Coturnix japonica: one gene and its partners. The protein of the gene in region 4 interacts with the protein of the main gene of each other region in a biochemical or structural test. Links are inferred from orthologs where the notes say so. Each region holds a gene or a part of one and is shown on either strand. Other genes may lie near its edges. The genes, in order: CCNA1, PHB, PURA, E2F1 and SETD7.

Region 1 (5,995 bases), on a different chromosome or scaffold from region 4:
AGCACTTGAATTGGTTGGTCCTCAGTTCTATGTAAGAAACATGAGCTACATATCTGATAGGTAGTGGTAGGCAGTATTCCAGTCCTGTTGATCTTACAGGACTTTCAGCATCATCCAGCAGGAGCAGGAAGATCACACATCTGTCAAAGCCTAAATAACCAAGACTCGCATAAATTCCAATCAAATCTTCTAAACCTATCTACAAAAAAATCACAGCAATGTTTTGTCTAACAAAACGCCCCCACAAAAACACACCACCACCATCATCATCTCTTCCTATGATGATTTTGCTCACATGGTTGAACCTCACTTAATTGGTGACCTGGGCTAAATGAGCACCTAAGAAACAAATCTCGTCTGTTTGAATAAGTGCTGTACAAATCTCAGATGTTTTAAGCTAAGCAGCAAGTCAGAGGTTTTGTTATAAGCTTGTGTGACACACCATTTTGAAGCACTGTTTCCCCAAGCATTCTGTGGGAATATGCTGTGTCATTGGGCAGCAACATGAAGAATCATCATGTCCAGGTCAGGCTTCCCATGCATATTCATTTGAAGAAAGGATTCCTAAGACCTTGCTGCCAAGATAGTCTAGTTGACCAGACACAGGCTAAGCTCAGCATTCCCAGGCATTTATCCAGAAATAATGAAGCACGGAAGCCTGCATTTTGATGGTAGCAGCCTACAAATCTATCTTAAAAGAATGGTAATTCATACCCTTGCAAAATTCTCTGTCCTGAAACAGACTCCATGCTTGTGAATATACTGAAGTAGGAACTGGTTGATGGTTGGCACTGTGAGATCAAAAGCCAAAACCTTGAGAAGCAGGTGTTCCATTCTTAGCAGCTGCCTCTTTGTATATGTATCATCTGTTATATACACAAATTCATCCACTTCTGGAGGGTAGATTTCTTCATATTTCCTGGGAAAAAAAACAGAAAAGCCAGATTTGTGAACTTAAAAGTTAAAGTAACAGAACTTTCTGCTGGGCCCACATCAAGGTGAGCATATGACATTTCTAAGACAGGCTTAGAGGTCTTATTTTAAGATTTCCCTAGTATAGGAGAGGCTTGATTATCAGATTGGTGGGAAGGCAAAGATGTTCTCTAAGTCATCAGCCTAAATAGTCATACACTCATACTAGCACTCTTGACGAATAAGAAAACTCTTAAGGAAAAAATGTCAGTAACATCATGCACTCTAGACAAAAATCCATGCACCCTTAGGCTTTGCTGGATACCCTGCCTATTTAAAGCAGTTTAAGTTTAATTGCAGATTGCAACTTTTAACCTACTATGGGCTAGTGGCTTAATACAGCACTGTTTTTGCTTCTGGTATTATGATTACAAGGTTCTCCCTCTACAGTTCCTTAATAAAGAATATTAAATTCTTAGTTTTGCAAGAGTTAAAGTATGTTAAGTGGCTAATGACAGAACCCTAGAATCCTTACACTTAGAAGGAACCTTTAAAGATCATCTGGTTCAAGTCCCTGCAATAAGCAGAGACAAACACAGGTTGCCCAGGGCCTGATCCAGCCTTACCTTGAAAGCCTCCAGGGATGGGGCACCATCTTAGGACAGCATGAAAACCTACCTACCACCACAAGCTTAAAGTCCTTCAAATTAAACTAAAAGTCCAAAAATAAGTTCATCTCACTAAGATTTCATGAGATAAACACTCACGCTGCCAGAAGAATTGCCGCTGTTCCTACAAGCTGCAGCTTCCCTCTGAGAACAGACATACAAGAGAGAAACCTGTCCAGGTAGTTCACTGCCAAGTACAGTGTCTCTGTTCGAAGTTTATATTCTTCCCCTACTTCCACCAGCCAGTCTACTAAGATGGCACGCATTTCTGTTGTGATATCTGGTTGCTTCCTCATGTAGTAGGGCTTGGGCCTGTATTTCACCTGTTTAGAAAGACAATTTAAGAAACAGAACAGCCGTTGAAGTCACATGCGTTAGTATTTTGCAATAATCTACTCACATCCCATCTTCAGAATGTGGAGTAATGCCTGAAAAACATCATCACTGTCTAGAAGATTTCTAAGAACTAAGCTCCAGTAATGGCTTTAACTGTTTGTTCAGTGACAGCCTAGAGTTAGTGTGTGACAGCCATATGGCTTTGCAGTATTGCAGCCTTTAAGGAAGATCCTACACAGCTTTACATTTGTTAAAATATACTCACTTCAGCTTCTCTGAGGTACTGATGAATGTCTTCTGCATACTCTCCCACAGTCATTAGAGTTATAGGATCTCCCATCTGATCCTCAGGCCGGGACCGGAAGGATGTGTCCACAAGCATGGGAGATGCTAACAGGAAAGAGAAGCCAGGAAGGCATTTAGTTGATTAGTCTCTTCACTACCTCTGTCCATTTCTAGCATAGAAGTGTTGCGCATCACACTGACTCAATTAAAGTTATCATGAAGTGGTAACTATTTGAAGATAGGCTACTCACTAGCTCACTGCCAGCATGATTCATAACCACATTGCAAGTACCTGTGATACCATGTGAACATTAACAGGAGTTACCTGTACTCAGATCCAACAGTAGGTGAATGCTGGATGTCATTGCACTAGTATCCAGTTCACACAGGCTTGACTCCAGTTCTTCATCCTCTTGGCAGCTGAAGTTTTCTTTCTCTTCTGGTTCATCAGTGTAAATAGCAAAGTCCTGTTTTGATGTAGTACTGACCACACAGTTGGATATTTCATCTTTTCCAGCTGGAGGGAAGGCATTCTCAGAGCCAGATAAGTGTCTGGTAATAGCAGTATTCTGAAACAGAGTACACAATAAGGCTGTGGCAAGGTAATTCAAGAAGAAAACAGCAGTATCATTTGTTTTAGAGAAGGTATATCACTTTCCTTGGTTAACGGACAAATAATTACAAGTTTGCTGGGAAAGCCAGCAGCTACAGTTGTTACTTAAGAAATACTGCTTGCTTCTGCAACAGAGACCTTACAGGAGGCGATGGGCAGTGCAAGCCAGAAACCAGGAGCACAGCCTCACTCCCACAGAGTAAGGCAAGGACACTGCCTGACTCCAACCTGCTGGCATGTGCAGGGTCTGCTCCATATTCACTTCTAGCAAGGAGAAGGTGCTACAGCACGTCATGGCGATGAAAGGAAGCATTCAGGCACCATCACAGGCTTAACAAAGGACATTATGGGCCAAAATAAGTTCAGTTACAAAGCAAACTTTGAACTTCTGAACTTAAACACCACAATCCATAAGATTTCAGGTTACAATTCTCCCCATCATCGACCATCTACTGACTGAGCTATGGGCTTCACACCACCAAAACCAAGCATTCCACAGGCACACACAGCTGGGTGATGTCCTGTAAGCCAGCACAGCTGCTTTCTCCCTGCCACACCAGCCATCCCCAATTAGGGACCAGAGAGAGAGGGCTTGGGAAAGCCTCGCTAATTCCCCTTACTCCCAGTAAACGCAGCCGGCACGGCATTCCCCAGGCCGACCACGAAGCCCACCCCGGTCCCACGGCTCACTGGGGCTTTCCGGGTCTCACCTGGGCGCTGGGCCGCTGCTGCCCGTTCTCCACCAGTACCCCCAGCACGGTCCGCCCGCCTCGGGGCGCAGCGGGGAGAGGCTCCCTCCGCCCCGCTTGGCTCATCTCCCCCGTGCGGCGCATCACCGCGACTTCGGCACCTTCCGGACGAGAGGAAAAAAAAATAACAGCACTTAAAAAAATAAATTAATTAATTAAAAACACTTAACAAAACGTACCTGCCTACGGAGCCCCGCACCTGCCTCGGACGTGGCGATGGATTCAGCTACGCTACCCCCTCCCAACGCAGAGCCGCTCGCTGCTGCCACCCGCCGCTCCCTATATAGGCGGCGGCCTATGGGCGCGGCGGCGGCTGTTGGCCGCGGCCAGTTGGAGGCCGGGGCCGCAACCACCCGTGCCGCCGCCCTGGTAACCCAAGCGGTCTCGAGTCGCCGTGGAGACTCCACCAGAGCCGGGCTGACCCAGCAGGGACCGACGCGGGCCGAGCGGGGCGCGGGGCGGGGAAGTGCAGGCCCGCCTCCGCCCCGCGCCGGGTCCGCTCGGGCCGGTGGTTGGAGCCGCCTCAGCCCCGCGGCCGGTGGCGGCCAGCGGCGGTTTCTCGGTTTTTGAACCCCGAACCCTGATGAAGGAGCCGTTCGGGCAAAAGCAGAGCGGTTTTAAAGCATGAATATGAATAACGGGATGAGTTTGTACGCGGTGTCCCAGAGATAAGGTGTTTGTAGTGAGAAGGGAAGCTAGAGGGATTAGCGAAAGCAAGGGGGATGTGTGGGAAGTGGGAGCAGGCAGAAGGAACGAAGACCAAACAAGATAGAGCTAGCAGGCAATAACAAGAGATCCGCGATTACAAGGTCAACAGAGAAAACGGCCAGGGGAGGGCTAGATTCGAGCAGCACTGAGCCCATAGAAGCATTCCGTCTTCTGGCTTTGGTTCCCACTGAGGAGGTCACCACTAGTAAGACCGAAATAAGGTCACTAAATAATGAACAACCAGGTACGAAGGAAGCAGGTCGTTTCTGCCTGGTGCTGATAGAGGACTTGGGCAGATGTGCTCCATCTCCTTGTGAGCTCTGACAGGTTTCCAAGTTATAAGAGGAATGCCACCAGGCTCAAAAGGAGACAGGAATCAAGAGAGGTTACCTTGAGAGAGTCAGGAATCAAGAGAGGTTACCTTGAGCTCCCATAAGAGTTCAGTGAACAAATAATCACTAAGAACTAAACATTTAGAGTATAAGAAAAGGATGTAAAATGACAACAGCAGCTTTACAGGAACCTCCAGTGGAGCATGAGTCTCCATGTTTACGCTAGACAGCCATGAACAAGCAGGAACATAGCTTGAGTGGCACATGAGCCCTCTGAAAGTCCATAGAGAGTACAAAAGAAATTAACCTCTTTATTTGCAATGGCAAGAGCAAGCAGCATAAGGGCTTTACACCATGAGGTTTAGATTAGGCATCACAACTGTGATGCTCCAGAAGAGATGGCACAGGAGGTTTGTAGGATTTCCCCCTTCTGATCTGTAAGATCAAGTCAGAGAAATTGTCATCAGGAATGTCTCTGCTTTGAGAGAAGTTCTCGGGATAATTAAAGCGAAGGGCTCAGATAAAGATTTTGGACCCATCAAGCAAAGCCAAATCTGTTTTATACACTGCTTGTCATCCAAGCTGTATTAAAGTCTATGTTTTTTTCCTTCCCTCATTTCTCATGTTTTTTAAATTGACCTTTCTCCTCTCCTCTCCTCTCCTCTCCTCTCCTCTCCTCTCCTCTCCTCTCCTCTCCTTCTCCTTCCCCTCTCCTCTCCTCTCCTTCTCTCTCTCCTCTCCTCTCCTCTCCTCTCCTCTCCTCTCCTCTCCTCTCCTTCCTTCCTGTTGTTTTTCTGAGCTGAATCAGAGAAAAAAGGCCAACAATTAAAACATGAATCTGAGGTTCAGGAGTTGTTGGCCAAGGAATAAAAACAAGTCCAAGACTCAGCCTTGTTTCAGACCCCAGCTCTCCACATGTACAGAATAAAGCATTTGGGCTTCTACTGAATATTTACTGGACACCACCACTTAAATCCAAACTACTCCGGTATACAAGTTCATAAAAGCTCACAGTGAACCTTGATTTTGGACAGGTTCTGCAATCTAATGGGTAAAACCTCTGTGTACCCAAAAACTTAACATAAAACTACTTACAACTGGCAGTGTGGGCAGTCACAAACACAGCCTACATTGCCATATATATGTTAACACATTAAAAAGGGACAAAAAATGTACACCACCAGGCAGTTCAGTTATCTGCACCATAGATAGGTAAGACTGCAAGATTTGCCTTGATGGTGAACATACTCATCCTTCACTTGCTGTACAGAGCAGAATCACCCTGTGAGAGTGGCCTGGCTGGTTCTGAGAGCAGCCCGATGCACTGCATATCTTTATGATCTCTAGGCAAGTTGACCTTGGAGCACAGCCTGTCTGCAAATCCCTCTCATC
Region 2 (5,932 bases), on a different chromosome or scaffold from region 4:
TATTAAAGAATCCTAAATCAGTTGAATTTTCATTTTCTCTGCTTTACCCAATCAGGAAAATGCAATGATTTTTCTGCAAAGAGCTGAACTGGCAGGTAAAGGTGATCGGATTAGCTGTGGCTGCAGAGCCAGGTTCACTGCGGCAACTGGAGGAGAACAGACTGTCCAGAGGGCAAGTAGGTGATGTTGCGAGACCTTGAAAGCTGGTAAGCAATATCTTCAGCTGCCTCCAGCTTGCGTAGCTCAATTAAGCCATCACCTGCAGTAGCTAGCGAGTTGGCAATCAGCTCAGCTGCTTTGGAGTCTCCCTCAGCTGAGATAACAGCTGCTTTCTTCTGCTGCTCAGCCTGCAAGAAAACAGGTGAGAAGAAAAATGAGCAGAAAAGGAAACAGAAGGAAGATGCTACAGGCAAGCTTTAAGTATAAATTCCCCCTTCACCACTCTATTGTTCTTTCCTTCAGAAGACTTAAGAGAGCTAAACCAGGTGGTTGTATGTTAAAGCTGTGCATATACACATATATACACAAACACATATTTGCCTATTGTGGAGGGGATGTTTAAAAATCGACTTGAAATTGTCTTATCTTAACCTCATGAAACAGCAGCTCGCCTAAGGGCACTCCTGGTGGACAGCTGTCTAGAGAAGATTTGAGCACTGAACTATATTAGCATTATGATTCTGAGTGACACCTGTCATATACCTGCCTGGTTTCCTGGGCAGGTGACTAAAGTATTCACTGTGAGAAGAAATGACTGAGATACCAGGAACTACTTCCAAGCTAAAGTTTCTCAAAAGAATAAAGTACCTTTTCCACAATGAACCTGGCTCGCTCTGCTTCTTGCTGGGCCACTTGCTTCATTTCAACTGCTTCGGTGAATTCCTTACCAAAGGTCAGATGGGTCTGCAAGGCAGAAATCACAGTCCACAACAGCATTTACAGCAACACTGCTACCAACAGCACATGTCTAAGGCAGGAGGCGTTTTGCCTTTATCAGAGAAGATGGAAAGTCAGTATCGCTAAAAAAAAGAATGCAGTGTAACAGAAACTAAACCTAGCAAGCTTTCCATCCTTTTAAAAAACAAAGTCTATAGGTGGCCAGTGACACAACCAACTACTTTGACTTGAGCTGTAACCACTGCATCATGTGCAACTGCAAACAAACAGGGTCCACATACACAAGCTTTCACACCTCTTCTCCGATCCTCTACCAATTTTCTTCCCTATTTGCACAGGGAGAAAAACTGAAAGGGAACTCTTACCAAGGACACATCATCCAGAATGAGGCCAAAAGTTGCTGCTCTCTCTGTGAGGTCTTCGCTCACTTGCCTGGAGACCAGTTCTCTTTGAGTGATCAATTCTCCAGCATCAAAGCGAGCCTGAAGTCAGGATGGACAACAGTGAGAAGAAAGCTCTCAGATGCTCTACTTGTCACCCAACTTGATGAAAATAAAGCCAAGTAGTTAAAACGACAGAGAAGCAATCAGCATAGATACAGTTTTAACTCTTCTGTATTGCACATTAGAGCCAAGGGGTATAAAGAGAAGCCTCATTTTAGAGCTTCACATTTTCCACAATTCAGCACGTCTCATTAGTGCTAAAACAAAAGAGAAGCGACAGGTTGACCCCAGCATTTGTGCTGTTCTTACCACAACAGATTTGAGGATTTCAGTTGTGATGGAGGGCAGGACACGCTCATCATAGTCCTCCCCAATACTTGTGAAGATCCGGGGTAGCTGCGCAGTCACGGGTCTGAACAGGATACGCAGCGTGATGTTCACATTCTGTAGATCTGCAGAAACAGGCACAAATTTAGCATTAAACCTTATGGGCAGGAGATATACTGAAGCTGTCCCCTCCAGAGGAAAGCAAAATAAGACAAACATTCAGACTTCTAACAAAGGAAAGGTTTGTAGTATTTCATTAACCAAGGACTATATTTCACATAGGGATCCAAATCCTCCTTACAGATTAAACTGAAGCTTCAGTTTGTCTGTAATGCAGGGAATTACCCTACAGTAAACACAGACTTTTTATTTAAAGGATAAGTATCAAACTATTCCTGACTGCTAAACTCTACACTCATAGAATCTCCATGTTCAGAGATAAAACCCTCATTCCTATAGTCCTCTAGCACGTTAATGATCATAAGTGTCTTCAAAAAGCTTTTTCTCATGCCTCTGCCCACCCAGCTCCAAAGCAGCAGAAGAGTGAGACACACACAGTGCACATCAGAGTGCCTGGATCTTATAGAGCTGCCCAGTCCCAAACCTCACCTTTGCTGCCAGTAATGACAGGTATGTTACGTGGGCGAGAACGGCAATCAAAAATGATCGGTTTCTGTACCCAGGGGATGAGGAAATGAGTTCCTTCTCCTACCACCGTATCCTGGACTCCACGGAATCGATCAAAGATAACAGCTCTGTGTCCTGCATCAACTGGAAAAGAAAACAACATAGATTCAGTAGCATCATGAGTTATATCTGCACAGCAGCAAAACTTCCATAGGGACAGTCTATGGAGGTTAGTTAAGGCTTTTTGCTATGTAAAAATGGCAAAGCTATTAATATTCTTAGGAATAACAAATCAAAAGAGAATACTCATCCATTACCACTGAGCCCTCAGCCTGCTCACAAGAGAGTTGTGTTGAAAAAGCCTGAATTCCTCCTACTTATGCAATGCACAAGGTACAAAACAGCCCTGAAAGAGGCTTTATCACTGTCTTCCCCAGATACCACAAGCAATAAAAGCACAGAGCAGCCAGATAATAAGGACATAAAGAGAACTGGAAACACTCAGCCTGTCCCACTCACCATTATATAGAGCAGAATTGACGACTCCACCTGCAACAGCCAACCCCAGGCCGAACTTCCCAATGCTCTCAAACACTTTGGCAGCCATTTCTCACGTGCTGTTCTAACCCCTTTATGATGAACCTCCTGCAAAAAAAAAATCCCATAACTTCGGTAAAACTATAGGAAACGAGAAAACCAGGCAGCCCTAGTGTGTACCTAGAGCTGGGATGGAACCCCAATCCAAAAAGCCCACCATGAAATGGGATCATTCATTATAATAGCAATTTCTTTGCCCCTCAGCAGCCATACAGGCCTCTCCACTCCCCCCCCCCTTATCACCTTGGACTCTGAACCCAAGACCCCACATCCCCCCCTTCCCCCCCCCCAAAACCCCTCGAGGAACCCCACACCTCGAACCCCCTTTAATTCCCCATTCTCCCCCCCTCCCTCCTCCCACCCACGTTTCCCGAGGCCTCTGACTCTCAGGACACAGACCTGGCGGGTGAAGGCCTCGTTCGTACCCTCAGCCCCCAGCTCAGCTCCAATACCCCAAGACCCTCCGCCCCCTCCCACCCCACTCTCCTCCCGCAGCTCCCCTGACCTCCACATGAATCCTCGGCCTCCCACCCTACCGCGCATGCGTGCAACCTCAACACGCCCTCTCCCTATTGGCCCGCGCTTTCCACGAGGCATTCTGGGACTTGTAGTTCTTCGTTGTTATTGTAGTTACAGGGTAGGACACAACTCCCAGCGAGCTTCGCGGCGGTACCACATGCTGAGCAAGGCTGCTTCCTATTGGTTGTTTAGCTCGCTGATAGCAATGAGCCTCTGGGCCTGCAACCCCAGAGCCGGGCAGGCCCAGGCAGAGGAAGGAGCTTAATGCTTAACACAGACCATTGACATTGAGGCGCAGTGCTATTTTATTTAGCTCTTAGCTTTAGCTGACATGGCTCCTTGTGCTGTACACAGGCGGTGCTTTGCTCTGCTTGTTGTGGTCTGTGGTCCTCACCATTGCTGCATGTACTGAATAGCCTATAGATGCAAAGGGAAATTACTTTGGCTTCTAAACAGATGGATCTCAGCTCTTTGAGGCAGCTCCTTACCGTGAAGCGATTGGGCAGCCTGGCACTTGGGTTGGACGCTTGATGACTCGGGCAGCAGCAACGATACGGCTGAGGCTCTATAATAGGAACAAGGTAGAGCTGAGTAGAGCCCAGCCCGGCTCTCAGCCCTTCCTTTAACCCCAGGGCCGCTTTCTGCTCACCGGGAGGCAATGCCTGCGTCGGGCTGTTATCAATACCGTGCCTCGTATCCATTCTAGAGCAGCCCGCGGACTGCAAAGTACATATGGGGCTATAAGAGCCGCCCTAGCTCCGTTCCCCAGCCCTTCCCTCGCTCTACACACACCCGTATTAACGCGGCCCTGCGCCGCTCCAGCGCGGCCTGCCTTCGCCTCGCCTCCCAGTGCAAGGCCGACATGGCGGCGGCAAGCGTCGCCTAGCAACGGCCACTTCCGGCACCCCCCAGCGCTGATTGGATCCGGACAGAGCCGCTCTAGCTCTCTATCCTCTCTATGATCAGCTTGACTTCCGGTGCTTCCCGGATGCGGAAGTGGCTCCTGGTGTGTGGGGTGGGGGTGGGGGAAAGATGGCGGACCTGGCGGCTTTAGAGGAGCTCGCCAAGCTCGAGTATTTATCGCTGGTCTCTAAGGTCTGCACCGAGCTTGACAACCACCTGGGTATCAACGATAAGGATCTGGGTGAGTGAGGTGGGGTGATAGCTGTGGGGAGGTTGTAACCGGGCCTGACGGCCATGATGCCTTCAACGAAAGGCCTTTGGAATTGAGAAGAATAAAATATATCTCTAAAAGAAATATTATAAAACGTTTAGATGTGAGCGCCTAGAAGGGGATGCTGCTGTTCTGTAGGTAGATGGATCGATCTGGGTGCTGCCCTTGAACACCTTGGAGGTGTTCGAGACCAGGTTGGACAGGGCCCTGGGCAACCTGATCTATGGGATCTATGGGGTCTCTGTGGGGATCTATGGGGTCCATGGGGTCTCTATGGGGATCTATGGGGTCCATGGGGTCTATGGGGATCTATGGGGTCTCTATGGGGATCTATGGGGTCTCCTGGGCAACCTGATCTAGTAAATGTGTATGTTTGGTGGCCCTGCCAGGCAGGGGGGTTGGAACTACATGATCCTTGAGGTCCCTTCCAACCCGGGTCATTCTGTGATTCTGTGTGATTCTGTGCCCTTGTGCTATTTGATTCACTTTGTGCTCTTTCTTTGTAGCCGAATTTGTGATCAGCCTCGCCGAGAAAAACACGACGTTTGACACGTTTAAAGCCGTTCTGCTAAAGAATGGGGCTGAGTTCACAGTAAGTGAGATCTGAATGTGTTCTGTGTGTTCCTTTATCAAAGGGAGATATAGGGATTGGCTATACTGCAGGGCTATGCAATATTCAGCCTTTCAATCTTTGCCCTGTTGTTTACCCCCATATTGTGCTTTGTAATAATGACCAAAAGTGATGCTATCACCTCTTACATCTTAAACCTTCTATTCTGTTTGCAGGATTCCCTTATCAGCAACTTGTTGCGTCTCATACAAACGATGCGGCCTCCATCAAAACCATCTGCGAGTAAAGGTGAGTGAAGTCTTTTCTTTTCCCTTCCATCAGTTCAGTTAAAAAGAAACAAACCCAACCAAACTGTGCTCTCGAATCCTTTGCAGTTTGTGTCTTGTGTTTGCTGAGGGCAATATATTTAATATTCTAAAATAATAAGATCCGTATTAACCTCTATATGTGGCTGAAAGTTTAACATTCAATTTCAGAAAGGCTGAGATGAAATCATTTTGACTCTTACAAACTATCTGTTTGTTTTGTTCATCTCCAAATCAGAGGCCGTTACCAAACCCAAATCGGAAAAGGAAAGATTGAAGGAATTATTTCCAGCCCTTTGCAGGCCAGACAATCCCAACGTTAGGGTAAGGTCATCATTTCAGTTTCCTTTAATGAGTGTGTGAAAATGTAGTTTGTGGCTCTTTTGGTGTCTCTATTTCAGGTTTTTCTTCACGTTAGCATTTATATCTCCAGCCAAAGCGTGGATAAGAGCAGACTGAGAATTAAAACATC
Region 3 (6,019 bases), on a different chromosome or scaffold from region 4:
GACAGAGCTGTTCTGTTTTGTTCTGTTTTCTTTTCTTTTGTAACAAAACAAAACAAAACAAAACAAAAGATTTTGACTTCGGAGGACATTTCTCCGTTAGTGCAGAACCATTTACAGGGAGGTCGCATTTTAGCAGTCAATTACTTGACAGAGTCCCTTTAACTCAGAAACAAAGCAATGTCAGTATTGCGATGCATTTCAAGTTTTCTCGCGCGCAGTCGTTACAAAGCAGCTCTATCGTGCTCTTGGACCTGTCCTACACGACATTTAAAAGCATGTCACCGAGGAAAATAAGGCGTGCTGCTCAGGAATTGGGGACCTTGGCACATTTGAGCATACTGTCCTTGTGAGAAACAACACATATGGTCAAATATACCTCGCTTCTCCCGCACCGAACTGCGCTTTCTGCATTTTGTTTTAAATACTGAGACATCGGAGCCGTGGGAAGGCACCGAGCACCTCCGGGAGCGAAGGAATTTCAAAGAATAAAGAAGAAAAAAGAAGAATCGAACCAAAACCAGAAAAGCGAGAGCAACCCAAAGCAAGCCCGAACTCCACGAACCTTTGCAGTCATTTTACTCTCTCATTATCATCATTCGCCAAGTCCTAGGAGGAAGGGGAAAACAAAAACCAACGACCAACACACCAGAAAAGCCCCGAGGAGACACGGACGGACGGACGGAGCGCTCCGGCTCCGCTCCCCGACGGCCGCCCCCGCCGCGCCCCGCACCAACGGCACCGCACCGGGCCGAGCTTGGGGGGTTTGAAGGCCGGGGCTGCGGGCAGCGCCGTGCGGCCCAGCGGAGCCGTCGGGGGTTGGAGGCGGAGCCCCCCGCCCCGCACGCAGCACCGGAACAGCGGGAAGGAACGCGGCGGGACAGCCCGGGCGGCACCGCCCGACGATGCCGGCACGCGATTGAGAACCGTTCCGAATGTCACATCATGAGCTCGGAAAGCTTATTTTACTGCTCGAAATCAGGAAAGTGCACATGAAACCAATTATCAACAATTCCAGTGATTGTTAGAGAAACAGAATCGCCCAACGTCCGACGCCTCATCGATAACTGCGAACACCGACGGGGAGGGCACGGCACGACGGGAACAGCTTTGACACTCACAGTACATCTCCGAAACAAAGGGGGAGGGAGGAGGGGGAAAGGGATTACAGTTTGCAATGGGAATAGCAGACAGCAGAAAACAAACTTCTCTCACCGAGCTCCGCTCTCCCCCTGCGCCCCAGAGCTCCGGCCAACGACTACAGTTGTACCAGTTGTACTGCTTAAGGCATCTTTTGTTTTGTAACACCTTCTCTTCACTCGTCACGATGATAGTCATGCAGCAGTTTAATGATAAAAATATATTAATATTTTACTATACAGCAGCAAGAAGTTAGTCAATGAAAAGCACATCAACTTTAAAAAAGAAAAAAAATAAAATAGGAAAAAGAAAACAAAAATCCACCTGTAAAAATCTATTATTACAAATCATCTCGGTTCGGAGCTCGGCCCGGGCGCGGGGCTGGCGGGGCGCGGCGGCACGGAACGGCACGGCAATGCACGGTAATGCACGGTAATGCACGGCAATGCACGGCACGGCAATGCACGGCAATGCATGGCACGGCAATGCACGGCACGGCAATGCACGGCAATGCATGGCACGGCAATGCACGGCAATGCAATGCACGGTAATGCACGGCAATGCACGGCAATGCACGACCCGCAGCACCGGGCAGCACCGGCCGGCCGGCCCCGCACCGCGCAGCGTCTGAGTGCCCAAAGTACACAGAATAAGAATAAAAACAACGGATTATGAACAATACATGAACATCTCATATACACAACAATGACAATACGCCTACGGAGCTGTAAACCAAACAGGTGCAGAAAAATATTACGGGAGGAAACCCTTCACTTTTCTCTCTCTCTCTTTTTCTTTCTTTCTTTCTTTTTTTTTTTTAATTTTTCCTATTTGAGTAACTTTGGTTCCAACGTAAAAATCACAAGTTTGCAAATTTCATTTAAATGCCTTTTTTAATAATTTTTCTTCATGTTCACAGAAGTTTCACTGACCATTTTTATATGTCGAAGGTCCAGATGCAATGCATATCGTATAAAAGAGAGCACTTATTGTTTACCTTGCATGAATTAAACCTACGTACCTTGTAACTCTACAAACTTCTGCATAACATTTAGACAAAGCTCAGACACACAGCATGCCTAGCCCTCATATATATATACACATCTCTAATCACAGGTATATAGGGTGTCAAATATACTATAGTAACCTCCATGTAAGGTTCGAAATTTGGTAACAAAATGAGAAGAAAAAACTAAAAATATTATTTTACGTGTTCTAAAATATCTCTTTTTTTTTTTTTCTTTTTGTGCTAAAGTCAAATGTTAGCTCAACATGAAAAGGACTTTTTATATAATTCAGCAATATTATAATCTTGACCATTTTTGCAAACACTTTTAATAATAATAGCTTAAACGTGTACAAAAGTTCTCGGTTAATTAGGGAAATAAACACTCAGTTCTTTATATTTTTAATCAAGTAGGAAACACAGTTCATATATAATGTTATTACTTTTTTTTGACTTTTTGTTTGTTTGTTTGTTTGTTTGTTTTAGCAGCTGCTTACTGTTTGATACGGTGGGAAAAGTGGAGGGACATCCAGCGATGGGTGGCGGGTCGGAGGCGTTGCTGTCGCTCGGTGGAGGCTGCCGGGCGGGGGGTGCTCCGGGGGTGCCGCCCGGGAACGGCCGCGGGCCGCCGCCTGCCGCCCGCGCGGCCGAGAGCAGTCCGAGTCCGCGGCCCCGGCGCCGGGCGGGGCGGCCGGCGGGCGGTCAGTCCTCGTCGGGCTCGTCGGGCTGCAGCAGGGCGCCGGGCGGACCGGAGGCGGCGGCTGCGGCGGCGGCTGCGCTGCCCTCGGCCTCGGGCGGCGGCTCGGGCCCGGCCCCGGAGCCCGCGGGGGCGGCGGCGGCGGCGGCGCGCTTGTCCCGCTGCTTCTCCTGGATCTTCTTCATCTCGTCCGAGTACTTGCAGAAGGTGTGGCCGAACTTGGCCCAGACCTTGTAGGGGACGGTGATGGAGTTGCGGTAGGTGGGCTTCACCTCGCTCACCCGCATGAAGACGCCGTACTTGTTGGAGCCCACGTCGAAGAAGAAGCGCTTGTTGTCCACAGTCAAGGAGGTGCCCTCGGGCAGCTCGGCCGGCTCCTCCTCCACGCCGTAGTCGTCGATGAGCTTGGCCAGCGCGTCGCGGAACTCGATCAGGCCCTGCGCCGGCAGCGCGATGGTCTGGCCCTGCGCGGCGCCCAGCCCCGGGCCGCGGTTCACGGTCTGGCGGACGCGCAGGAAGCGGCCGCGCTGGTTCTCCTTCAGATCCATGTAATACTTGCGGTTCTCCCGCACCAGGAACTCGCTCTTGAGCGCCCGGCGCGGCTCGTCGGCCGCCTGCGCCAGCTCTGGGGGCTGGCTGGGCCCCAGCTGCGCGTAGTGCTCGATGAAGTCGCCCAGGTAGTCGCGGAACTCCACGGCCACGGACATGGACAGCGTCAGGCGGCTCTTGTTGCCGCCGGCGCCCACCTCTGCGATCTTCAGGAAGCGGCCCCGGGAGCTCTGCTTCACGTCCAGATAAAATCGCTTTTTCTGGATGTCCACCCTCTTGGAGGCCAGCTCCTGCGTCTCGTGCTGCAGCCCGCCGCCCGGCCCGCCGCCGCCGCCGCCGCCGCCGCCGCCCGAGCCCGAGCCCGAGCCCGGCCCCCCGCCGCCCGCCGCGCCCCCGCCGCCGCCGCCGCCGCCGCCGCCGCCGCCGCCCTGCTCGCTGCCGCTGTCTCTGTCCGCCATGATGCCGCCGCTCCGCCCGCCGCCGCCGCCGCCGCCGCCCGGCAGCGCCGCCTCGGCCGCCGCTCCGCCGCTCATGCCGCCCTCCGCCCCCCGCGCTGCCGCCCGCGCCGCCGCCTCGGCCGCCCCGGCCGCCGCCCGCGCCGCCGCCGCTCCGCCCGCCGCTCCGCCGCCGCTGCAACAGCCCCCGCGGCCACCAGCCGGCCGCTCTCGCGAGATCTGCGGGAGCGAGGAGAGGGCGCGGGAGGCGGCAGAGAGCGGCCCCCAGAGCCGGCCGAACCGAGAGCGGGAAGCAGCGCCGCGCCGACCGGCGGCCGAACCGCGACACGGAACCGAGCGGGAGCGGACGGCACCGAGCGGGACGGGCGGGCGGGGCCGCGCTGTGCCGTGATACCAAGCGCTATGGAGGGCTATAGAGTGCTATGGAGGGCTGTGCCGTGATACGAGGTGCTATGCCGTGCGGTGCCGTGCGGAGTGACGCTGTGCCGCGCCGTGCTATACCGTGCTATACCGTGCTATACCGTACCGTACCGTGCTATACCGTGCTATACGGTACTATAACGTGCTATACCGTACCGTACCGTGCTATACCGTGCTATACCGTACCGTACCGTGCTATACCGTACCGTACCGTACCGTGCTATACCGTACCGTACCGTGCTATGCCGTGCTATACCGTGCTATACAGTGCTATACCGTACTATACAGTTCTATACCGTACCATACCGTACTATACCGTACTATACCGTACTATACCGTACCATACCGTACTATACCGTACCATACCGTACTATACCGTACTATACCGTACTATACCGTACCATACCGCACTATACGGTACCGCGCCGCCCTCCGGACGAACCTCTCCCCGCTTCCGACCCGGGTCCCTCCCACCAGCCCCGGTTCCCTCAAGTTCCCTCTATCGTCCCGTCGGGGGCGGCTGGAGCGGGACACGCGGTTCCGACCCCTCGGGCCCACCCGTCTCAGTGCGACGCCGCCAAAGGGGACGCGCGACGGCAGCGGCCCCGGCCCCAACGGGCGGCGGAGCGGGCGGGCACGGCCGTGGCCTGGCGCACGTCCGCAGTCGGGCCCCGCTGCCGGCCCGGTGCCGCCGTGTGATTCTTTATCGTGAAGAATCGCGGTTCGATCCGGGCGGCTGCGAGGAGCCTTTGTTCGGAAACCATCGAAAGGACGAGCCCGGCTGGAGGGAACCGGGCGGCCGCCCCTCGCCGCGGCTGAGACGCGGAGAGCGTCCCTCGGTCACCCCGAGCGGAACGGGACGGCCGTTCTCCGGGCTCCCGGCCCACGGAGCGGGGCTCACCGGGGAGCCGAGTCCCGCTGCGGGCGGAGCGCTTCGCGTCTTGCCGTGGAAATCTGTCTCGCCACGAACGCTCCCGGGGCTCCTTTCCCCCCACGGCGGCGCTGCCGGAACCCGACGGGGCAGAACCGCTGCGGGTCGCGGGGCCGCACCGAGTCCCGGGATCGGGTGGGGGCTGAACACCGGACGGGACGGGGTCGGCGCTCCGGGACCGGGGGGCTCCGGGACGGCCGGGAAGGGCCTCCGGCGGGCGGGGAAATGCGGAAAACAAAATCTTGGCTCTGGACCCGCTCAGGACGGCCGTGTCGCGCCGGACCGGTACCTCGGTACCGTGGCTCCCCCGCCCCGCCCCGTCGGCCCCGTGGCCATCAGACAGCGAGGCGGTTTAAGACCAAGCGCGTGCCGGGGCTCCTCTCCCGTTCTGCTGCTCAGCGGCGGCTACTGGCGGAGTCCGGCCCGACGGGGCGGCTCCCGAAGACAGGGACACGGAGCAATCCGCCCCGTGAAAGGACCCGGTGCCGTTCCGCCGTCGGGCCCGGGGCTGCCGGTAGGGCCAGGAAGCTCCGCCAGACTGCGCAGGGAAATCCAGGGTTGGGGGCGCATTGGAATCCCCAGGGTCTCGGCAGCGAGCCGGCAGCCGGTCGGAGACAGTGAGGGCCGTCGGTGTGGGTCAATGCACGGCACCGGGCACTGACCCGGTGGGGCTGAGCGGCCGGGCGGAGACCTGAGCCGCGAGGGGCCGCCACGCCGCTGGGGAGTGCGGCCGGGCCGAGGACTGTTGTGTCTCCGTCCCGGCGGCACCGGAACCGCGGAACTACCGCCCGCCCGGCCCCGCACGGTCGCTCGGCTCCACTGCG
Region 4 (6,015 bases):
TTAAAGGCAGTAAGTGAAAGTGCGGCTCCAGCCTGGCCCCAGGGTCCCTCCATCCTCCCTTGGAGCCAGGGAGGAGGAAACAAACCCAAAACGCACTCAGCCTGAAGGGCTGCGCAGGAAATGAAAGAGAAAGCCTGGAGACAACATTTGGTCCTCACTGGGCCATGGGGGTCCACATATTCCCCATCCTCATAACATCCTGGGGACACCCCCAGCCCACCCCAACATTCTTCCCGCAGCCATCTGATGCCTGCAGCTCTGGGGCCAGCAATACCCTGCCGGGACCCTCCTCCTGTACCATCTCCCCCCCAGCACCCACTCCTGCTGTCCCGGGAGAGCCCCTCATGGCATAAATAATAAATAAATACCCCGCAGAGCTGGCCCCTCCCAGCACAAGGAAACCTCGCGGCACCCCCAGACCACCACATCCCCCACCCCCCCTTGACCCCTCCTGGGAAACTAAACGCTGTCCCCAAGGAACAATAATAAATTAATCCAATCTATACACAGGACTGCTTAAAGCTCTGCCACGGGCACCCTATGGCTGCCCGCAGTGGGTGGGGGGGCACCCAATGGGGACCCCTTGCTCCCCAGCATCCTCCTCTTGGGACAGGAGTAGGCCCCAATGTGGGCTCAAGCACCAAGCTGGGCTCTGTCCCATCATGGCACAGAGATGCCGGATAGGAGGGAAGAAAATATTGCAGAGGGGACGGATGGAGGGGGCCCAGGGCTGCTGCAGCACAGGGACCCCAGGAAGGCACCAGAGCCACACCAAGGCACAGGGCACCACGTGGCTGTCCTCAGCCCTGCCTGCGTCCCCCCCCTTGGCAGTGGGATAGCTTCTGAAATCAGGACAAGAGCCTCAGAAGTCCAAGTGCGTGAAGTCCCCAAAGTCACAGTCAAAGAGTTCACTGATGCCCTCACCCTCCTCCAGGCCGAAGTGGTAATCCTGTGCCTGTGGTGGTGACAGGGCAATGAACTCATCCGCCAGGAAGCCCGAGAAATCGTCCTTGGCCTGCTCCAGAAGGGTGTCCATGGAGGCCAGCGGTGACAGGCTCACATCCTCTGTGGAGCACTTGGAGGGCAGTGCTGTGCCTGGTAGCAGTGCTTCTGTGGGGACAGAGCGAGGCTGTCAGCCCCACAGCACACACCAGAACTGCTGTGTTCTAAGCTACTGAGGCCATGCAGATGGCACACAAAGCATCAGGAGTGATCAGAAACATCCAGGCCAACTGGGCAGCGTGACTCAGACCACTTGCTGAGTGGTGGGACAAAGAGGGACAGTGTCCTTTCCTAAGCAGAAAGATCCAGGGCTGTCTCTGCCAAGCTTGGGTAGGAGCAGAGCCCACAGCTGGGTGGATCACAGAATACCCCAATTTAAAAAGGACTCGCTCATAAGGATCATTGAGTCCAACTACTTGGCACTGCATGAGCATGGAGGTCAGGCTCCTCCTAACACACAGCCAAGACCTCAGCCCTGTAACCTCGTGCTCCTGGAACTGGAACAACAGTGATAACACTGTCCCCACACCACAGAGCCCAGGCAGTGCCCCCATTCCATTCCATTCCCATCCCATCCCATCCCATCCCATCCCATCCCATCCCATCCCATCCCATCCCATCCCATCCCTTCCCATCCCATTCCCATCCCATTCCCATCCCCATCCCCACCTTGCTCACCAGGCAGCAGCATGTTGACATCCTGAGCAGGATGCAGGAGCGGGGAGGCTCTCTGCTGCGATGAGCCAGGGGACAGCTCCTCAGCAGGTGCCTTGAAGGGGCTCTTGACGGGGCTGCAGACCCCTGAGCTGTCCTCGGGGCAGAGGAACACGTCGATGGGGCCCTGAGTGCTTTTCACTGAGACCTGGAAAGCCTGGGGACAGGAGGGACATGGAGTGCCAAGGTGGAGTTGTACCGAGGGCTGTGAAGATCCATGGGGAGGAGAGACCCCTCACTCACCTCTGCCGGGTCTGAGACTTGCAGCTGGGTCTCTGGGGGTGCCTTGATAACCATCACCATTTGCTCAGAGGGGTCCACAATGCTCCGAAGGTCCTGGCAGGTGACGTAGGCTGCGGTGCGGCGGGTCAAGGAGCAGACACGGGGCCACATTCACACCCAAAACCCCACACAGTGACCATAAGTGTCAGAGCAGGGGGGGGCTCCATTCCCCAACAGCTCTCCAGCCCATCCAGCCCCATCCCGGCCCCGCACCGAAGGATATTGCTGGTTGGAGGGATCCTCGGTGAGCAGCCGCAGCTGCACCGTGCACGTCTGGATGAGCTCGTCCAGCTGCCGTTCTGCCGCCTGCAGATCCCGCAGCTCCTTCTCCAGCAGCTGCTGTCGGCTTGAAGCCCCCGCGGCCACCTGGCTGCCCCTGGGGTACACAGGGCTGTCACCCCCAGCACTAACACCCCACTGCTGCCATCACCTCCCGATCTCAGGGTGGAACCCAACCTCCCTCCCTCCACCCAACCCTGGCAGCTTCGGTGTTATCCCCCCACCCTGATGGACATACATCCACTGGATGTGGTTCTTGGACTTCTTGCGGATGAGCTGGATGCCCTCCAGGACATTGGTGATGTCGTAGATGCGCCTCTTCTGCACCTTCAGCACCTCGGCCGCCCAGTTGAGATCCACCACACCATCGGGGGATTGGCTGAGCAGCTCCAGGAAGCGCTTGGTGGTGAGGTTCAGTGAGGTTTCATAGCGGGATTTCTCCCCAGGAGACTTTGCCCCTGTTGGGGACAGGTGCAAGATTCAGCCGTGGGGCGCGGGGCAGCCCCAGCACCGCCACACCCGGCAGGTGAGCAGCACCCGGCAGCTGCTGGCAATGGGAAGCTCGGGGGATGGTGCTGCAGGGCCCCGAGACTGAGCCCTGACAGCGAGCAGCCGGGCAGGGCCCAGCGCTCTACGGGGACGGCAGGTGGCAGAGGGGAAGAGGGAGGTGACGAGGCCCATCCCGAAGGGCTCAGGCCGGCAGCACAGCGGGGCCGTACCTCTGCCGGGGATGCGGGCCCTGCCGCGGGCGGCGGGCAGGCTGTCGGCGATGTACTGGTGATCCGTCTCCAAGTTCAGCTTCCGCTTCACCTGCGGGACAGGGCGTCCTCAGCGCGGGGACGCGGAACGCACCGCGGCGGCAGGGCCGGGCCCCGGCCTGTGGGGGCAGCCCCGCGCAACGGCGCTGCCGGGCGGAAGGCGGCCTCGGCGGCGGCTTCCGGAGCGGCGGTGCCCCGCGCGGCCGGGCTCTGACGGGGGGGGGGGGGGGGGTCCCGCGTGGGCACCGCGACGTCCCGGCCCCGCCCGGCGGCCCGCTCAGCCCCGCTCAGCCCCGCTCCCTCCCCCGTCCCGCGGTTACCGGCGGGCGGCCCAGCGTGGGGCGGCGCGGCGCGGGGCCGGGCTGGGAGGGCTGCGGCGTGGCGAAGAGCAGGAGGTCGGCGTCGGGGCGGCAGCCGCCCGCGGGCTCCTCGGAGGCCGAGACGATGAGGAGGTGCGGGGAGGAGCCGCCCAGCAGCGCCGCCAGCCCCGCCGCGCCGCCCGCCGTAGCCATGGCTCAGGTGACGGGCGGCGCGGGGCGCGGGGCCGCGGCCGGGGCGGGGGCGCGGCCCATTGCCGGGCGCGGGGCCGATCCGCGGGGCCGTTCCCCAGGTCGTTCCGGGCCGTTCCGGGTTGTACCGGGCCGTGCCGGGCCGTGCCGGGCTGTGCCGGGCTGTCCCGCGCTCCGGCCCCGCGCGCCTTTGCGCGCCAAATCCTTTTTGCCGCGAAAGCGGCGCCAACCTCCCCGCGCCCGCCCATTGGCTGCGCCCAACGCCGAGCGCTGAGGCGGGGGTGCGGGGAAACCGTCTGATTGGTCGAGGTCGCCGGAGGGAGGGGCGGTGCCGGCCGCCCATTGGTTAAGGGCGGCGGCGGCGGACGCGCTGACAGGCGGCCAATCAGAACCGCCGAGCTGAGGCAGGAGCCAATCGGGAGGCGTCTCGGGGACGCGGCCGTGGCGCCGCGTGGGTGAGGAGCGCGGCCGGGCCTTAAAGGGGCCGAGGGCGGCGCGGAGCTGGTCCCGCGTGGGGTCACTCACAGACGGGTCTGAGCGCCGGGCGCTCCCTGCACTGCTGGGCTAGAGCTGCCCGTGACGCTGTGCGGGCTGCGGGGCTGAGCTGCGTGTCCGTGGCGGTGCGGGCGGTGCAGGGCAGGGCAGCCCATAGTCAAAGCCGCGGGACGTGGCGTGGGCGGCTCCCGCCGTCTGTATCCCGTGTGCGGGGCGCTGATAACCTCAATGTGCCTCCAACGGAGCCCAACCCACAGGGACATAAACACCCCCCCATCTCGGTACTGCGGGGCCGGAGTTGGAGCTGCGGCCGCAGCGGGGCTCAGCGGGACGGCCGGGTTAGCGCTGGGTGCGGGCGGTGCCTCACAGCGGGGATGTAGTGAACGCTGAGCGGTGTTTTGCTGCTCGTTCTTCCTGTGGCTGCGGAGCCCACGGCCCAGCCCTGCAGCACAGCACCGAACGGCAGCACCGCTCCGCTTGGCGGCGGTGAGCGCTGTTAATTAACGCTCGGCCCTTGCGATAACCCGCACCCCGGTCACGGCGATATCCCCGTTAGCGAGTGGTACGAGCAGCAGTTACACGCCAGATGCGGCCCGTTGGTGCCGCCCCGCCCGGACACACGGTCCCACCCGCCCCGGCTGCGGGGCCGTTCCGGGGCCGCGGGCTGTGAGCGGCAGCTGCGGCACCAGCTGCTCCCACCGCGCTCACAAAGGCCGGGGCAGCTGGGGGCAGCACGGGTTTGTTTTATTCCCCCCTCCCTCATTCATACGGCAGTTTATGCAGGGGGAGCGGGCTCCCCCCCCCAACCTCCCCCGTGCCAATTCGCCGAGGCTTTCAGCTCTTGTGGCACTTGAAAAGGGCAGATGCAAAGACAAATGAAAGGCAAAACAGTCACTGCGACAAATGCTGAGGGGGGAAAGGGGGCTTTTCCCCACCCGCGGATGAATCCCACCTGGCACAGCTGCGGGTGGTGATAAGCTGCCAATGGGTGCTGAGCCCTGATAGCTGCCAGTGCTGCACTGCATCTCCTGCTGGGCTGGGGGGGGTCAGAGGGCTCTGCAAGCTGCAGGCTTGGCCAACGTTATCCCTTTGTGGGCATGATTATGGACAGCCTGTGGGTCTCTAAGGCCACGCACGGTCATCTGCTGGTGGTGGGAGCACACAGGGGAGCTGGGAGGATGCAAATCTGGACTCAAACCATCCCTGCTCTGACCTCAGGGAGGGTTTGATCACAGCACTGCCCCTGGGTTCCTGCTGGGACACATTCAGCATCCCAGACTGCTGCTTTGGATTCCTACAGAGGGACCCGACCCCACATCGTTGTCCTGCCTTCTTTCAGGTTGGAACGGCGTTTTGGGTGTTTTTCCACATGGGAGATGGCACAAGTGGATCCTGCTTCCCAAGAGTTAGGAATCCTTCCTTTCGTTGTATTACTATACAGAACGCTACAGTAGCAATTTTGCCCCCAGGATACCAGCTATGGCCTTGGATGCTGAACAGAGCAAGTTCAGCTCCTTTACTTCCTTCTCTTTTACAGTGGTATCCAATGTTGAAACTCAGTATCAACCTGCGGTCCCAGGGTGAGGGCAGCAGGGCCATGGAAGCTGCTCGCCCCCCGAACCAAGACAGCCTTGTGAAGCCCCTGTGAGCCAGAGAAGTCACTGCCTGCCTCCCAAATGAGCTGCTGAACGCTGCTCCATCCCACCAGGCTCTCAGGCTGCCTTCAGCCCAGTGTGCTGGCTTACAAGGGGAGAATAGGGCAGGATGTCTTCTGCAGAGAGCCAGAGCCATCCAGGAGCATGGCTGGGGAAGAACATCTTCTGTGCTTTAAGCTTCGTACAGCACTGGGCTTGGACTCACTGTGACTTGGACTCTGTGACTTCACCCAGCCTGAGCTCACTTCCCAGCAGGTGCACAGCGCAGCCATTGGCACCGCAAAGCCAGAGGGTGGGTGAGGCACCAGCTCAGAGCTTCAC
Region 5 (5,233 bases), on a different chromosome or scaffold from region 4:
ATGACATGCTCGACACCAACCTTTTTATAGCCTCTGTGTCAGCAGTCCGAAGGGTGCTGGTGAGTCAGATTGTTACACAACAACTGAATCTAGTTCGCTAATTCCAATCCCTGTGTCCTTCCAGCCCCATAACACAGACGACATGATATGCACAGCAATAATATGCACTTGCACACAACCAACTGATGGAGCTACAGCCAAACCACAGCCCCCCTCCACACCCCCAGTTATGTTACCAACAAGACAGAGTTTGCAGCTGTGCCAGCACTACCACTGCTAAGCAGGTTTTCATGCTGACCCAGCTGGCAGCGGTGAGGGCGACAAGCAGGACTGTGTCCCCAAGTGCACCAGAGAAGGGTTACGAAATGCAGTTCAGTAGCACCACCACGTGGGTCACTTCCCATTTGTCTGCAGAGCAAAGGGCTTGTGCTTTTCTGCCCAATTTTACCATTTAGGAAAAGGGCTTCTCACTAATACACTCATCCTCTCATCACAGCCAGCCTTCAGAGTTTCTAATGAGAAATGTTACAGAGACTGAGCTGTTTGCAGCACAGAGCTGGTAGCAAGAATACAAGTTGGCGTGTTTAGCGGAACTTACTGCCCGGTACTACTTCAAACTGAGGTTTCCCATCCTCTAAGGATGTCAGGGTTGCCAGTTTTGCTTCTATCATTTCTCCATCTATGAACTTTCCGGAATATGCAGTCCTTCCATCAGGGTACACGTAGGCGATCTTCTCTCCAGTCATCTCTCCTTCTTCATTCACTTCTCCTACAAGGCTGCCTCCATCCTGAAAGTATGGACAAGGAAGAAAAGAGCTCTTAGTAATTGTTCCTGAGTTTTGAAAAGCAGCAACCTAAGCTAACTGCCATAAGCTCAGGTGTGAGGAAGAATGACATAAGAAGCTGGATCTGATTCTGGTCAGGATAAAAATGACAAAAGAAATTAACTGGGACTGGGTCATCCAACTTGTTTGACACCACCCAAACCCAAGCTTTTTCCTGCCTGACACAACTGAGCTTCAGTTCACAGAAGCTTTATGTGAACAGACTGTGAAACAAGGCCCAAAGTAATGCACGTACAAAAGCCCACCTGAAAAACAACCAACAGAATCACCATTGTTGCTGTAACTCAGCACGGTAATAAGAGCACATAGCAATTCTGAAGGGTTTTCCAGAGGAATACTTGAGTTTCTACCAAGAATCAGAAAAACTCTGGCTCACTTATTGACTCAAGTACTACCACACCCTACAGTCAGAGGCAGAGTTCTCACACCAGCTCCATCTTGTTTGCTGGGCCAAGGCAGCACACACCTTGTATAGGTGTCCTTCCCCAGCTAAATAGGAGCAGCAGGTTATGTTAGCTTGTTGTCTCCCATGCATTTCATCAGCAGTCTGCTCACAGCCCCACTGTACACTGAGCAACACTGAGAAGGTTCCACTGTATCTTGGACTACCCAAAACCAGAACAAAAAGAACTTCCACCTAGGTTTTTATGTTTCCTTTTGGATAGCTGGCCCTTGGCAGGTATCTGCTTCAGCTGCAGAGAGAAGATACGTGAAGAAAAAAGAAAAAGAGCGAGAGGTCAAGTTTACCGGGTAATATATCCAACAAACTCCATGTCGGATGTTGTCCTTATACTGCCCTTTGAATATCAGTCGCCCATCACTGTCATACTCCTGGGCTGGGCCATTCAGCTCTCCATCCACATACGTGCCATGAAGCACCACTCCATCCTCGTACGTGTAGATTCCCTGGCCCTGCAGGGCATCGTCAACATAGTACCCCTCCAGGGTGCTGGCAAAAAGAGAAAGGAATCAGCTATAGAAGACTATTCACCTCTGTAAGAAGCAAAGCCTCAGTGTTGGCACAACACAACCAAGCTCCTTATGCTGTCCTTTGACTAGGGCACACAGCATGTACAGAACATTCTTCATCTAAATTACGCAGCTGAGCTTTTTTTATAGGCTGTGGTAGCAAATTAAAACAATGAATGGACAGCTCTTGGTCCAAGAATTAAGTATTGCTCAAGAAAGCTACACTCACATTAGGTTCTTCTACCTCCTGTGTGTGGCTCTGTGGTGACATCACTCTGGTGAGAAGACACTGAACTGTCATGCAGGTGGACCATAATAGAGCACAAACCACAACCTGCCACCAAGTCACAGCTGGCTTCCTAGCAATACACTTAGCAGCAACCTGTCCTGGATTTGCTAAAGGCACTGTCATTTTTCCATGTATTTCTATTAAAATGGAACAGAGCCTGTCAAACACAACTCATGCTGCGCTGTAACTTGAACAAAGACAAGCTCAGCTCACTTCGACTTCATCTCACAAACCCTTCAGAAGGGATGCAACAACACTTGTGTTCTGCTTTGTTTCCTTGCTTAAAAAGGCTGCTGATGGAAACTACAAAGAACGAAAGCAACACTGAACAGATCCTCCTTCACAATCACTTCTTCCTCGAGCCAGAAGCAGCCTAAGGTAATACAAACTGTTGAGCACATTTAGCTAATGACTGGCTGCAGCACATGCACTTTTGCTGTCTAATTCTGCTTCTGATGCAGACATTTACGGAGTAAGCAGTTTGTCTGGGAACACAAGAGCAAAACTCTCTGCAGCTGATAACACACACAAAGCTCACGTTTAAGTTTACTCTTCGAAAGAAGTCAGGCTTAATGCAGTATGCTTCCCAATACCAAACCACACCAACATGCCCTTACCCACCTTTCCTTATACATGGCAGGACTGAAAGCTTTTTCTTAAACATAACACATGTCCCTGCTGTGATCTGGGAGCTGTCAGCTTATGGGAGTGCCTGGTTAATGGAAGCAGCAGCTGCAGCTTAGCGCCAGGCGCTAACATCACGCTCACAGCTATTGTGCAAAGTGCTTGTGAAGTGCTCTCCTGCAAGCATTAGCACTGCTGAGAGCTCGAGTATGTCATCGGAGCAAAGAACCTGCCAGAGGTGAGCCTGCTCTCAGAAAGGATATGTGGGGTGAACTGCATTTTTGAAGGGGGAGAAAAAGAAAAAACAAACAAAAAAAACACCAACTGATGTTTAGTCATGGGGACTCTTAAGGTTAGCTGAAATCTGCCTGCTTCCAGCCCTGAAGCACAGAACGTGCTGCCATAGGGAGAGATGTCTGGAGAAACGTTTGCAATTCATTTCTCTTCATAAGATCCCTTCCTAAGCACTCAGCCTGGCTGAAGGCACAGGTAATGGGAACAGCAGGCCTTGCACTACGCCAAGTCATCCTCCCTCACTGTGCCATCTGACATGACCAAGGCACTCCTGCTACCAGGGCACAGCTAAGTAAATTGTGATGCCATTAGGAACCAGAGTCACCGCTTGCTTATGGCTGCCGTGGCTCAATTACAATAAGCTCAGGCCAGTTTATAGAAACACCCCATTTTCTAAAACTATATTGCAGACTGCTGTGGTATATTTTCATTTTGCTGGTTCCTGCAGTCACCCAGCAGCCAACCGTTCCATTTTATTAAGGGTTATGTAAATTAAAGAAAAATCAAGAGCTGGCAATGGCAAAGAGGTACAGAAAAGGCTGAGTACTGGCGGCAGCAGCTCGAGTTCCCCCACAGAGCACTGCCAGGTGAGGTGGAGCAGCTCCACCAACCAAGCTGTGGGCCACTTTCTCCAACCGTACACTCAGAGCCTGCTCTGCTGAAGTCATCAGCAGGCACAGAGGTGTTATGTACGTGTGTCCATAGAGACGCTGTCAGCCAGCTTGGGAAAAAAAAAAACAGTGTTTTGGAGAGGTCAACTGCTGGGCAGTAGTGATTTTCAGCGACTGGCACAAGATTTAATAAGCCCATTACCAACAACAGAGGGGATTTTCCTTCATCCAGACTCAGAGTTCTGATCAGTTTCTGCATAACTGAATAAAAATATTATCCTCCCCATGAAAACAGCCCCACAGTCTCCTGTATGAAGTGACTGCAAAGAAGGGTGCAGACAAGGAGCTGACTCACTGAGCAGCACAATACCTCCGCTCCTGCTTGGAGGTTTGCAGAGCTGGGAGGGGGAGAGCGGAGCCAGCACGACTGTCAGCCTTGCAGCTGCTATTCATAGTGCCACCGGCAGCTGCGGAGCCATGAAGAATCGTGTCCTTTCAGACATCTGCTGCTCCTTCCAAGGAAGTTCTGAGCAACTGCGAGGAGAAGCGCTGTTGGTGGGGGAAGGCACTCGGGGTGCTCCTGATGAGGGCTTAGGAAGGAAATGCACCCACAGGCACAGAGCAGCCCCTGTCACTGCCACAGCTCCAGACAAACAAAGTGCAAGTTAAAGGGGCTTCTCTGAAAACAAAGCAGGCCACAAGCGACGTGCAGAAGATGGAGAAGAGCTGAAAACAAAGCCACATGTAACTTGCTCCATCATAGCCATGAGCAGCTCCCAAGACCAAGCAGACATGGAAGCACCCAGAGAGGCTCCTACACCTGTGCATGGCCTGGCACAGGGAGCTGCAGGTCCCTGACTTGCCTCACAGGCCTCCACAGAAGTCCATTGCAGTTACAGGCTTGAAATCTGTAACCCAAGTAGCTGTCACCGTGACTTTTCAATATCCCTGAGCACATCCCAATTCCTAAAGTATACAACTATAGCTCTTCATACAAAAGCTTATTTGGAAACTCTCAGTGCGAGGAACATGGACTGAGCTTCATAGCACTGAAAGCAGGAAGAGAAATACAGAACATAGGAGAGCTGGTGTTTACCTTCCATCAAAGAAGAAGAACTTGCCACGGCCATTCTTTTCTCCATGCACAAAGTTTCCCTCAAACCTGTCTGTGGATGAATAGGTGACTGTACAGAATCCATGTGGCAAGCCATCATCGTCTAGATGTCCTGAAAGAAAACCCATGTAACAAACAGCAAAAAAAAAAAACCACATTAAACTTGGTAACAACTTGCACATCTGCCCCTATCACACAGATGCCCCAGTTGCAGCACCTCCCCAGTATTAAACATGAACCCTTACCAAAACATTTCTGTTAAGAAAAGTTATCAAGAGATTCAATGTAACTCAGGCTACTGTACCCAGAATAAGTAGTGAAAAAAAAAAAAAAAAGGAGGGATACAGTGAGAGGACAGAAGACATGAGAGACAGAAGAACAAGTGAAAAAGTAGAAACCTATCTGAAATAGATTCATAGAATGGCCTGGGTTGAAAAGGACCTCAAAGATCATCCAGTTTCAACCCCCTGCCATGTGCAGGGTCACC

The links.
Region 1: the proteins of E2F1 (region 4) and CCNA1 form a complex in vitro, tested with the Homo sapiens proteins (2 studies listed by BioGRID). The link is inferred for Coturnix japonica from reciprocal best matches to the Homo sapiens genes E2F1 and CCNA1.
Region 2: the proteins of E2F1 (region 4) and PHB form a complex in vitro, tested with the Homo sapiens proteins (2 studies listed by BioGRID). The link is inferred for Coturnix japonica from reciprocal best matches to the Homo sapiens genes E2F1 and PHB1.
Region 3: the proteins of E2F1 (region 4) and PURA form a complex in vitro, tested with the Homo sapiens proteins (2 studies listed by BioGRID). The link is inferred for Coturnix japonica from reciprocal best matches to the Homo sapiens genes E2F1 and PURA.
Region 5: of the proteins of E2F1 (region 4) and SETD7, one has a biochemical effect on the other in vitro, tested with the Homo sapiens proteins (3 studies listed by BioGRID). The link is inferred for Coturnix japonica from reciprocal best matches to the Homo sapiens genes E2F1 and SETD7.

The regions. Positions count from the first base shown.
Region 1 is NC_029516.1:154,344,413-154,350,407, forward strand, and holds the start of CCNA1 (cyclin-A1), read right to left. Parts: upstream 3,947-5,995; 5' UTR 3,763-3,946; exon of another isoform or gene 3,743-3,762; intron 3,665-3,742; 5' UTR 3,648-3,664; coding exon 3,525-3,647; intron 2,771-3,524; coding exon 2,527-2,770; intron 2,307-2,526; coding exon 2,182-2,306; intron 1,904-2,181; coding exon 1,680-1,903; intron 920-1,679; coding exon 715-919; intron 1-714. UniProt on the Homo sapiens protein: May be involved in the control of the cell cycle at the G1/S (start) and G2/M (mitosis) transitions. May primarily function in the control of the germline meiotic cell cycle and additionally in the control of mitotic cell cycle in some somatic cells.
Region 2 is NC_029542.1:2,951,356-2,957,287, reverse strand, and holds the start of PHB (prohibitin), read right to left. Parts: upstream 3,497-5,932; 5' UTR 3,397-3,496; exon of another isoform or gene 3,291-3,396; intron 2,940-3,290; 5' UTR 2,902-2,939; coding exon 2,814-2,901; intron 2,439-2,813; coding exon 2,277-2,438; intron 1,793-2,276; coding exon 1,650-1,792; intron 1,492-1,649; exon of another isoform or gene 1,380-1,491; coding exon 1,263-1,379; exon of another isoform or gene 1,236-1,262; intron 904-1,235; coding exon 808-903; intron 348-807; coding exon 135-347; 3' UTR 1-134. Other genes in the region: ATP-dependent RNA helicase DHX8, read left to right, coding at 4,443-4,554, 5,091-5,176, 5,371-5,443, 5,699-5,784.
Region 3 is NC_029528.1:15,483,287-15,489,305, reverse strand, and holds the start of PURA (transcriptional activator protein Pur-alpha), read right to left. Parts: upstream 3,863-6,019; 5' UTR 3,848-3,862; coding exon 2,846-3,847; 3' UTR 2,641-2,845; intron 1-2,640. Other genes in the region: translation initiation factor IF-2-like, read left to right, coding at 4,267-5,856. UniProt on the Homo sapiens protein: This is a probable transcription activator that specifically binds the purine-rich single strand of the PUR element located upstream of the MYC gene. May play a role in the initiation of DNA replication and in recombination.
Region 4 is NC_029535.1:1,932,229-1,938,243, reverse strand, and holds the start of E2F1 (transcription factor E2F1), read right to left. Parts: upstream 3,563-6,015; 5' UTR 3,548-3,562; coding exon 3,356-3,547; intron 3,088-3,355; coding exon 2,997-3,087; intron 2,736-2,996; coding exon 2,516-2,735; intron 2,375-2,515; coding exon 2,222-2,374; intron 2,075-2,221; coding exon 1,960-2,074; intron 1,874-1,959; coding exon 1,681-1,873; intron 1,111-1,680; coding exon 863-1,110; 3' UTR 1-862. UniProt on the Homo sapiens protein: Transcription activator that binds DNA cooperatively with DP proteins through the E2 recognition site, 5'-TTTC[CG]CGC-3' found in the promoter region of a number of genes whose products are involved in cell cycle regulation or in DNA replication.
Region 5 is NC_029519.1:25,732,949-25,738,181, forward strand, and holds part of SETD7 (histone-lysine N-methyltransferase SETD7), read right to left. Parts: intron 4,859-5,233; coding exon 4,729-4,858; intron 1,795-4,728; coding exon 1,593-1,794; intron 789-1,592; coding exon 599-788; intron 1-598. UniProt on the Homo sapiens protein: Histone methyltransferase that specifically monomethylates 'Lys-4' of histone H3. H3 'Lys-4' methylation represents a specific tag for epigenetic transcriptional activation.